3 linked regions of the Saccharomyces cerevisiae S288C genome follow. The protein of the gene in region 1 purifies or fractionates together with the protein of each later gene. This does not show direct contact. Each region holds a gene or a part of one and is shown in the gene's direction. Other genes may lie near its edges.

What was found.
Region 2: the proteins of GRX5 (region 1) and BOL1 purify together in Saccharomyces cerevisiae (affinity purification with mass spectrometry; 2 studies listed by BioGRID). This does not show direct contact.
Region 3: the proteins of GRX5 (region 1) and BOL3 purify together in Saccharomyces cerevisiae (affinity purification with mass spectrometry; 2 studies listed by BioGRID). This does not show direct contact.

Annotation. Positions count from the first base shown.
Region 1 is NC_001148.4:442,433-445,647, forward strand, and holds GRX5 (monothiol glutaredoxin GRX5), read left to right. Parts: upstream 1-2,146; coding exon 2,147-2,599; downstream 2,600-3,215. UniProt on the Saccharomyces cerevisiae protein: Monothiol glutaredoxin involved in mitochondrial iron-sulfur (Fe/S) cluster transfer. Receives 2Fe/2S clusters from scaffold protein ISU1 and mediates their transfer to apoproteins, to the 4Fe/FS cluster biosynthesis machinery, or export from mitochondrion.
Region 2 is NC_001133.9:55,769-58,350, forward strand, and holds BOL1 (Bol1p), read left to right. Parts: upstream 1-1,749; coding exon 1,750-2,082; downstream 2,083-2,582. Other genes in the region: gamma-tubulin complex subunit SPC72, read right to left, coding at 1-1,089; BOL3 (Bol3p), read right to left, coding at 1,261-1,617; GCV3 (glycine decarboxylase subunit H), read right to left, coding at 2,182-2,582.
Region 3 is NC_001133.9:56,529-59,143, reverse strand, and holds BOL3 (Bol3p), read left to right. Parts: upstream 1-1,758; coding exon 1,759-2,115; downstream 2,116-2,615. Other genes in the region: RNA-processing protein PTA1, read left to right, coding at 1-449; GCV3 (glycine decarboxylase subunit H), read left to right, coding at 682-1,194; BOL1 (Bol1p), read right to left, coding at 1,294-1,626; gamma-tubulin complex subunit SPC72, read left to right, coding at 2,287-2,615. UniProt on the Saccharomyces cerevisiae protein: Acts as a mitochondrial iron-sulfur (Fe-S) cluster assembly factor that facilitates [4Fe-4S] cluster insertion into a subset of mitochondrial proteins such as lipoyl synthase (LS) and succinate dehydrogenase (SDH).

The DNA of each region.
Region 1 (3,215 bases):
CAACTAGATCCACAATCCTATTCTCAACCTTGTCAATGGTTTCTCCGAGTTTTAATAATTTTTCAGCTAGCATCTGAATATCATCAGTCTCAGAAAGTTTTTCCTCTTCTGCCTTTAAACCATTTAGTATGGTTTTAAACCTATTTAAGTTTCTTTGATATTGTTTCACCTGTTCATCTTTAATAGAAACTTTTCTTAATGATGATGGCGTCTGTCTGACAGTATCATTTGTTTTGACTTTCGATTGAATCCGCGCAGAAATGTTGTCGTCAATAACATTTCTTGTTTCATCCCTCACTGGGGTCGCCATGTTGATAATTAGAGGTAAAAAATTAGTATTAATGAAGAAGTGAGTACTGATCTTCTTATACTAAATAAGAGAGGTATATAAAACACACGCCGATTGGTCATATTAATCATGACCAATATAATAGTGGTTCCGGTAGTTACTATACATTGATGTGACGACTCATATTCCTCATATATGTACCTACCATATCATGTTCAACTAATAGGTCTTTAACACAGCTTCAGTATTGTCTGAGCTTCTCGTTTAACATTCCTTCTGCAATAGGCGCAATCACACTTAAACGTATACGAGTTGTACATTAATATACGATGTAAGCATTAGATTGTTACCATAGCAACTCATGTCACTATTAATTACTCTCGTTCCAACAATCAAAGAATATTAAATGAACTTCAAATATTAAGTAATTCTCCTTGTTCTGCTTCTACGGCTCTAATCCATATTAGCATACCCGATTAATATAATTGCCTGCGATCGAATACCCAATGTACTGGATTTTGTTGGAACAAGTGATTTATCACAGTTCACACTGTCGTGAAGTAATTTGACGGTATATATCATATATAAACAATATTCAATGGTGAAATCAGCAGTTTGCGTTGAATTAAGAACATATACTACTTGAACATAAACTGGGGTTCATGTAAATGGAAAATATGAGCCATCGCATTGAGCATATGGCAGTCATAAGCAGTTTTGATTCTGCTTAAGATTCAATTAAAAGTAATTGAAAGAGTAAAATGTTTTATAGTTCAGTTAGTAACTTCGAGCAAGCTAGTGCTTGCCATTTAGGCCATTGAATAATTCAGTACGAGTATATGCTTATTATTATGGATAATTGATGCACTAGAACACAAGGAGAACGAGTATTTTAACAAATTGAGCTATTACAAAAGGAATACTTAGATACGGCATTATCTGACTTAAGGCTTCTTCATTAGTGATTGATTAAAAGAAAAAATAGAATGCAAAAGCTAAAGGAATTAAGCGAAACTAGGTTCCAGTAACACTTAATTTAGTAGCCTTATCAATATTAAGAAAGGATGGTAACCTCTAATATATCACTGCCATGTAATGAACTTCTATATTTTAGGGATTTAGGAGGGTTCTGATCTGAATCACTTATGTGTTTTATATTTTCTACATACAGCGCGACTGCTGTTTTCTATCCATAATTATTTTAAGCATGCGCTATCGTTTCTACCTAATGACAAATTGTGGTAACAGCCAGATTTATCTCAATATACATTAGTAGTCAATATCTCAAACGACATCGAATGCCGCACATAGCCATTTATTATAACAGATGAGAACCACATCACTTTTTATTACAAGGTGTCCATTATGACGACTGTAGAAGTATGCAAATCATAAGTTAGCCCAAAGAAGACATTTAGATTTTCTTACGACAATACTAATTAAGGTACCACGAACAAAGAGAGAACAGTAGGTATGTTGTATTGCTACGCCAACTTTTCTTGTGATCAAAAAGTTCAATGCATTCATTCTTCTTTATAATATAGTACAAACTGTTAATTTACTACATACGGAATCATGAGATTCTAAATTTAGTATACAGAGCTTAATTTATTCAATAAAGCATAACTAGTGCCGTAAAGAGTCTAAACCGGTATTTGGCACTGATCTGAGCTTATTGGAAAAACGTTACCCGACCAAAATAAATCACTTCTAGGAAGTAAAGGTATAAAGTATTGATGACAAATGCGTTCTAGTCCCAAAGGGACAAGAAGTTGTATTACTCTTTTCACATATATCAAGGCCACAAAGGTATCTGTTTACTTTTTGACTTTAGCAAAAATTTGAGGAAATCAGACAATGTTTCTCCCAAAATTCAATCCCATAAGGTCATTTTCCCCCATCCTCCGGGCTAAGACTCTTCTTCGTTACCAAAATCGGATGTATTTGAGCACAGAGATAAGAAAAGCTATTGAAGATGCCATCGAATCGGCTCCAGTGGTTCTTTTCATGAAAGGTACTCCTGAATTTCCCAAGTGTGGATTTTCAAGAGCAACCATTGGATTATTAGGAAATCAAGGCGTTGACCCGGCCAAATTTGCGGCTTATAATGTTTTAGAAGACCCAGAGCTACGTGAAGGTATCAAAGAGTTTTCAGAATGGCCAACTATTCCACAGTTATATGTAAACAAAGAATTCATTGGTGGATGTGATGTTATTACAAGTATGGCACGCTCTGGTGAATTGGCCGATTTGCTAGAAGAGGCACAGGCATTGGTACCTGAAGAAGAAGAAGAAACCAAAGATCGTTGATTTTGTTACCACTGGAAGCAAAATAGGAACTGGTGGCCGAACACTTTAATACTCGTGTGCATAATAGGCCTTTACGATCCATATTTATATATGCATGTACATTTGCTATTTTTTTAAAGATTTGTAATGTATTCTCATGCCTTTAGACTTGTAAATAACAGATTCTCTACTTACAAACCCCTCTCTTTGCTTTGCCAAATGAATTGACGTTATAAAACAAAGAAGTGAGAATTATGAATATATTTAATATTCCCCGCATAGACTTGAATCAAAAAACGTTAGTTTTAGAATGACAGAAGCCATATCTTCGTTCTGATTCAACGTGCGAAAGACGCGACAGACATTTGTTGGGGTTGTCTTTGTTACTCTCTTGATTTTCGATAGATTCCGTACTGTTACCAGTTTGCTTTTCCCCCATTTTTTTTAACGTAAAAGGATTGGAAGATAATAGGCGAGCTCAATTTTATTGCCCTGCGAAGCTTTCAAATATGTTAGTCAAAGGATCAAACTTCCTTTTGAAGGTGATAGGGATATAATGAACACACAATTGTGCCTTTAAGCCATTACTCACGAGTGGGATAGAAATGAAATTCTTTTCTTTTAAATGGTATTAATA
Region 2 (2,582 bases), on another chromosome or scaffold:
CTTCAGTTGGGAAATCAAATGATCTTGTTTTTCTATAACGGAACTAGAATTTTCTTCCAATTCTAAGGAATCTAGTAGATGAGACTGCTCATTTAGTTTGGACGCTATTATTTTTTCTAATTTTTGCGATTTCTCGAATTTCAATCTAATGGAATTTATAAATTGATCATATTCTTTGTGCAAATTTTCTATGACAATCTCTAATTGAGTGTCTAAGGTTTTCTCAAAACGAGACTCGACGGCTGAAATTGGTAAGGAAGTACTGTTTGCCATTACATTTTCTGTATCAATGTGGTTGTTACTGTCATGAATTTCGTCATTCTGGTATCCACCATCAGTATTCTCCTCTTTACTTGATGGTGAGTCCCTACTTTCTAACTGTGATCCTGCTGGTGAGGACTGGGCCAGTGAAAGAAATTCTTCCTTATCCTGCTTTGATTCCGCTCGACTTTTGGAATGCAAAAAGTCCTGCAAGAATTGGATGATGAACTTGGACAAAGTATCCATTTTTTCAAGAACATAATCCGAGCTCAGCTCTAAAGTTTCCTCCAGGGTCTCCCTCTCTTCTTTATCAAGAAGATGGGCATTTTCATCTTGCTCATTAAAATGCGTCAATATAAAGGACAATAGGTGATTGATCGTATTCACGATACTTTCCGAATTTTCTAAATTCTCTTGAACGAATTGTAGCGTATCTTGGTACTCGACTTCCTTCGCCTTTAAATCCTGTTTCAATTTGTTTATTTCAAGATTTAGACCCTCGATAATCGAATTTCTAAAATCAGTGTCATTGCCCAGCGATGGTGCATTGCCGTCTTTATTAGGGATTCTGCGAATGTATTCATAGAGTACTTGAATCTTGATTTTGGCATTAGTCAACTCCTTCTCCAAATTTTTGACTTTGTTGGAATCGTTCATCAGAGCAGGCTTGATGGGATCGTTATGAGATGACCTCGTGGTCATGGAGTCCCTGAGTGATGGTATGGACATCCCAGAATCCATCGAGTTTGTGAACTCGCTGTCGTCATCATCACCAGTGTTGTCATTATTGCGAAGATGCCTGCCACTAGGAATCCATCGACGTACCATGGCTATAACTTTCCTTATGTTGTTTGCTTAGTTTTTTGATATTAGTGTTGCTTATGTGAAATTTCGCGATTTCAATTAAAATAATAAATACATATATAAAGAATATACACAGAGGGAAGCAAAAGTAAACTAAAAGTGATACTTACACGAGCTTTTTTGGTTCCAAACTGTTCATGATGATGCCGGACCCTTCCCAGTTGACTTCTTAGTGGTCAATTGTAGGCCATGCCATCTGGAAATATCGTCCCTCAAAATTCTGTTCACCAGCTGGTGCTGCTTGATGAGACTCAGTCCGTTGAACTTCTTGCTTGTTATGTTGATAGCAAACATGGATCCGCAGCCACCGGAAACGTCTTGCACTTTACACACTTCAGGTTCCAGTTCCTGTTGTAGTTTATCGGTGATCATCTTCTCCTCCGGAGTCATTGCCATCTGCGTTGAGTACCAAAGCTTTGAGCCCGTCAGAATCCTTGGCCACCGGACATGCTTCACAGATATAGAACGTAGCATGGTCTGTGGGAGCTTCATTTCTATGTTTTACCTTCTCTTTTCGCTTTTATGGTTCTCAGTGACCAAATAAAGAAACTTATATATGTTCCGGAATGACGAATCAAAAAGAGAATAGCATCGTTAGCAGCAAACGAAAGTGGAAAGAGAATAATGTTCAAGAGAGCAATGAGCACAGATGGTCCCGTGGCACGTACCATCCTGAAGAGACTGGAATGCGGCTTTCCAGATTACAAGAACTTTGCGTTTGGCCTCTACAACGATTCTCACAAGCATAAGGGCCATGCTGGTGTACAGGGAAATGTCTCTGCTGAGACACATTTCCGGATTGAGATGGTCAGTAAAAAGTTCGAAGGCCTGAAACTTCCACAACGCCATCGTATGGTTTATTCCCTCTTGCAAGACGAGATGGCTCAGGCGAACGGTATCCATGCTTTACAATTGTCACTAAAGACCCCACAGGAGTATGAATCCAAAGCGAAATAGAATGCATAAGCATAAGTGTACACGTTGAGTTTATTGTTTTATTTCCCCTACATATATATACATATATATGAAATTACTTTACGTACGTATAAGCTTTGTTCAGTCATCATGAACCAGTGTCTTTTCGTACTGTTCTAAGGACATTAGACCCTCGACCTGTTCCACATTAACGCCCTCACCAAGCTTCATTTTGACTAGCCAGCCGTCACCCATAGGATCTTCGTTCACCACACCTGGATTTTCCTCAAGATTAGTGTTAATTTCCTCTACGGTACCATCGGCAGGCTGGTAGATCTCGGAGGCTGACTTGACGGACTCAATGGACCCTAGCGACTCACCTTGGGCAATCTCAGTGCCCACTTCTGGCAACTCAACATAGGTAGCGTCCCCTAAGGCATCAGTGGCGTATTTTGTAATTCCGACAAAGGCAGTCTTGTCCTGATGCACAGCTATCCACTCATGTTGGGAAGTGTACCTCACGGCTTGAGGTCCTTGGGATG
Region 3 (2,615 bases), on another chromosome or scaffold:
GAATCGAAGCACAAGAGGCCAGTGACCTGATTCGTGAAGAACTGCTTGGCTTCTTCATCCAGGATTTCGAGCAACGTGTCAGTCTGATCATTGAATGGCTCAATGAAGAATGGTTCTTCCAAACCTCGCTGCATCAAGATCCCTCTAACTACAAAAAATGGTCCTTAAGAGTTCTCGAGTCTCTGGGTCCATTCCTTGAAAACAAACACAGACGATTCTTCATCAGACTTATGAGCGAACTGCCCAGTCTTCAAAGCGATCATCTTGAGGCACTGAAGCCTATCTGCCTGGATCCGGCAAGAAGTTCCCTTGGTTTCCAAACGCTAAAGTTTCTCATTATGTTTAGACCCCCAGTGCAGGACACTGTTCGCGACCTGCTGCATCAGCTAAAGCAAGAAGATGAAGGCTTACACAAGCAGTGCGATTCACTGCTTGACAGGCTAAAATGATCACAACCATTACATACATCATATATACGCATGTGTAGGGTCTTCCTTCAACTTGCAAATCAATGTTTTATCTATCATTCTGTGCTATAGGGACCTCGCAATTTTGACACTTCCGTAAGGAGTCATTCAGCGGCGGAGTCACTTTCGCTAACTCTTTCTTCTATATATACAGACCAACAAACAAGTATCTAATGGGAAAGGGAATCTCCACATGAAGCATACCACATCGACAATGTTACGCACTACTAGACTATGGACCACCCGCATGCCCACTGTGAGCAAATTGTTTTTGAGAAACAGCTCCGGCAATGCCCTAAACAAGAATAAACTACCATTTTTGTACTCATCCCAAGGACCTCAAGCCGTGAGGTACACTTCCCAACATGAGTGGATAGCTGTGCATCAGGACAAGACTGCCTTTGTCGGAATTACAAAATACGCCACTGATGCCTTAGGGGACGCTACCTATGTTGAGTTGCCAGAAGTGGGCACTGAGATTGCCCAAGGTGAGTCGCTAGGGTCCATTGAGTCCGTCAAGTCAGCCTCCGAGATCTACCAGCCTGCCGATGGTACCGTAGAGGAAATTAACACTAATCTTGAGGAAAATCCAGGTGTGGTGAACGAAGATCCTATGGGTGACGGCTGGCTAGTCAAAATGAAGCTTGGTGAGGGCGTTAATGTGGAACAGGTCGAGGGTCTAATGTCCTTAGAACAGTACGAAAAGACACTGGTTCATGATGACTGAACAAAGCTTATACGTACGTAAAGTAATTTCATATATATGTATATATATGTAGGGGAAATAAAACAATAAACTCAACGTGTACACTTATGCTTATGCATTCTATTTCGCTTTGGATTCATACTCCTGTGGGGTCTTTAGTGACAATTGTAAAGCATGGATACCGTTCGCCTGAGCCATCTCGTCTTGCAAGAGGGAATAAACCATACGATGGCGTTGTGGAAGTTTCAGGCCTTCGAACTTTTTACTGACCATCTCAATCCGGAAATGTGTCTCAGCAGAGACATTTCCCTGTACACCAGCATGGCCCTTATGCTTGTGAGAATCGTTGTAGAGGCCAAACGCAAAGTTCTTGTAATCTGGAAAGCCGCATTCCAGTCTCTTCAGGATGGTACGTGCCACGGGACCATCTGTGCTCATTGCTCTCTTGAACATTATTCTCTTTCCACTTTCGTTTGCTGCTAACGATGCTATTCTCTTTTTGATTCGTCATTCCGGAACATATATAAGTTTCTTTATTTGGTCACTGAGAACCATAAAAGCGAAAAGAGAAGGTAAAACATAGAAATGAAGCTCCCACAGACCATGCTACGTTCTATATCTGTGAAGCATGTCCGGTGGCCAAGGATTCTGACGGGCTCAAAGCTTTGGTACTCAACGCAGATGGCAATGACTCCGGAGGAGAAGATGATCACCGATAAACTACAACAGGAACTGGAACCTGAAGTGTGTAAAGTGCAAGACGTTTCCGGTGGCTGCGGATCCATGTTTGCTATCAACATAACAAGCAAGAAGTTCAACGGACTGAGTCTCATCAAGCAGCACCAGCTGGTGAACAGAATTTTGAGGGACGATATTTCCAGATGGCATGGCCTACAATTGACCACTAAGAAGTCAACTGGGAAGGGTCCGGCATCATCATGAACAGTTTGGAACCAAAAAAGCTCGTGTAAGTATCACTTTTAGTTTACTTTTGCTTCCCTCTGTGTATATTCTTTATATATGTATTTATTATTTTAATTGAAATCGCGAAATTTCACATAAGCAACACTAATATCAAAAAACTAAGCAAACAACATAAGGAAAGTTATAGCCATGGTACGTCGATGGATTCCTAGTGGCAGGCATCTTCGCAATAATGACAACACTGGTGATGATGACGACAGCGAGTTCACAAACTCGATGGATTCTGGGATGTCCATACCATCACTCAGGGACTCCATGACCACGAGGTCATCTCATAACGATCCCATCAAGCCTGCTCTGATGAACGATTCCAACAAAGTCAAAAATTTGGAGAAGGAGTTGACTAATGCCAAAATCAAGATTCAAGTACTCTATGAATACATTCGCAGAATCCCTAATAAAGACGGCAATGCACCATCGCTGGGCAATGACACTGATTTTAGAAATTCGATTATCGA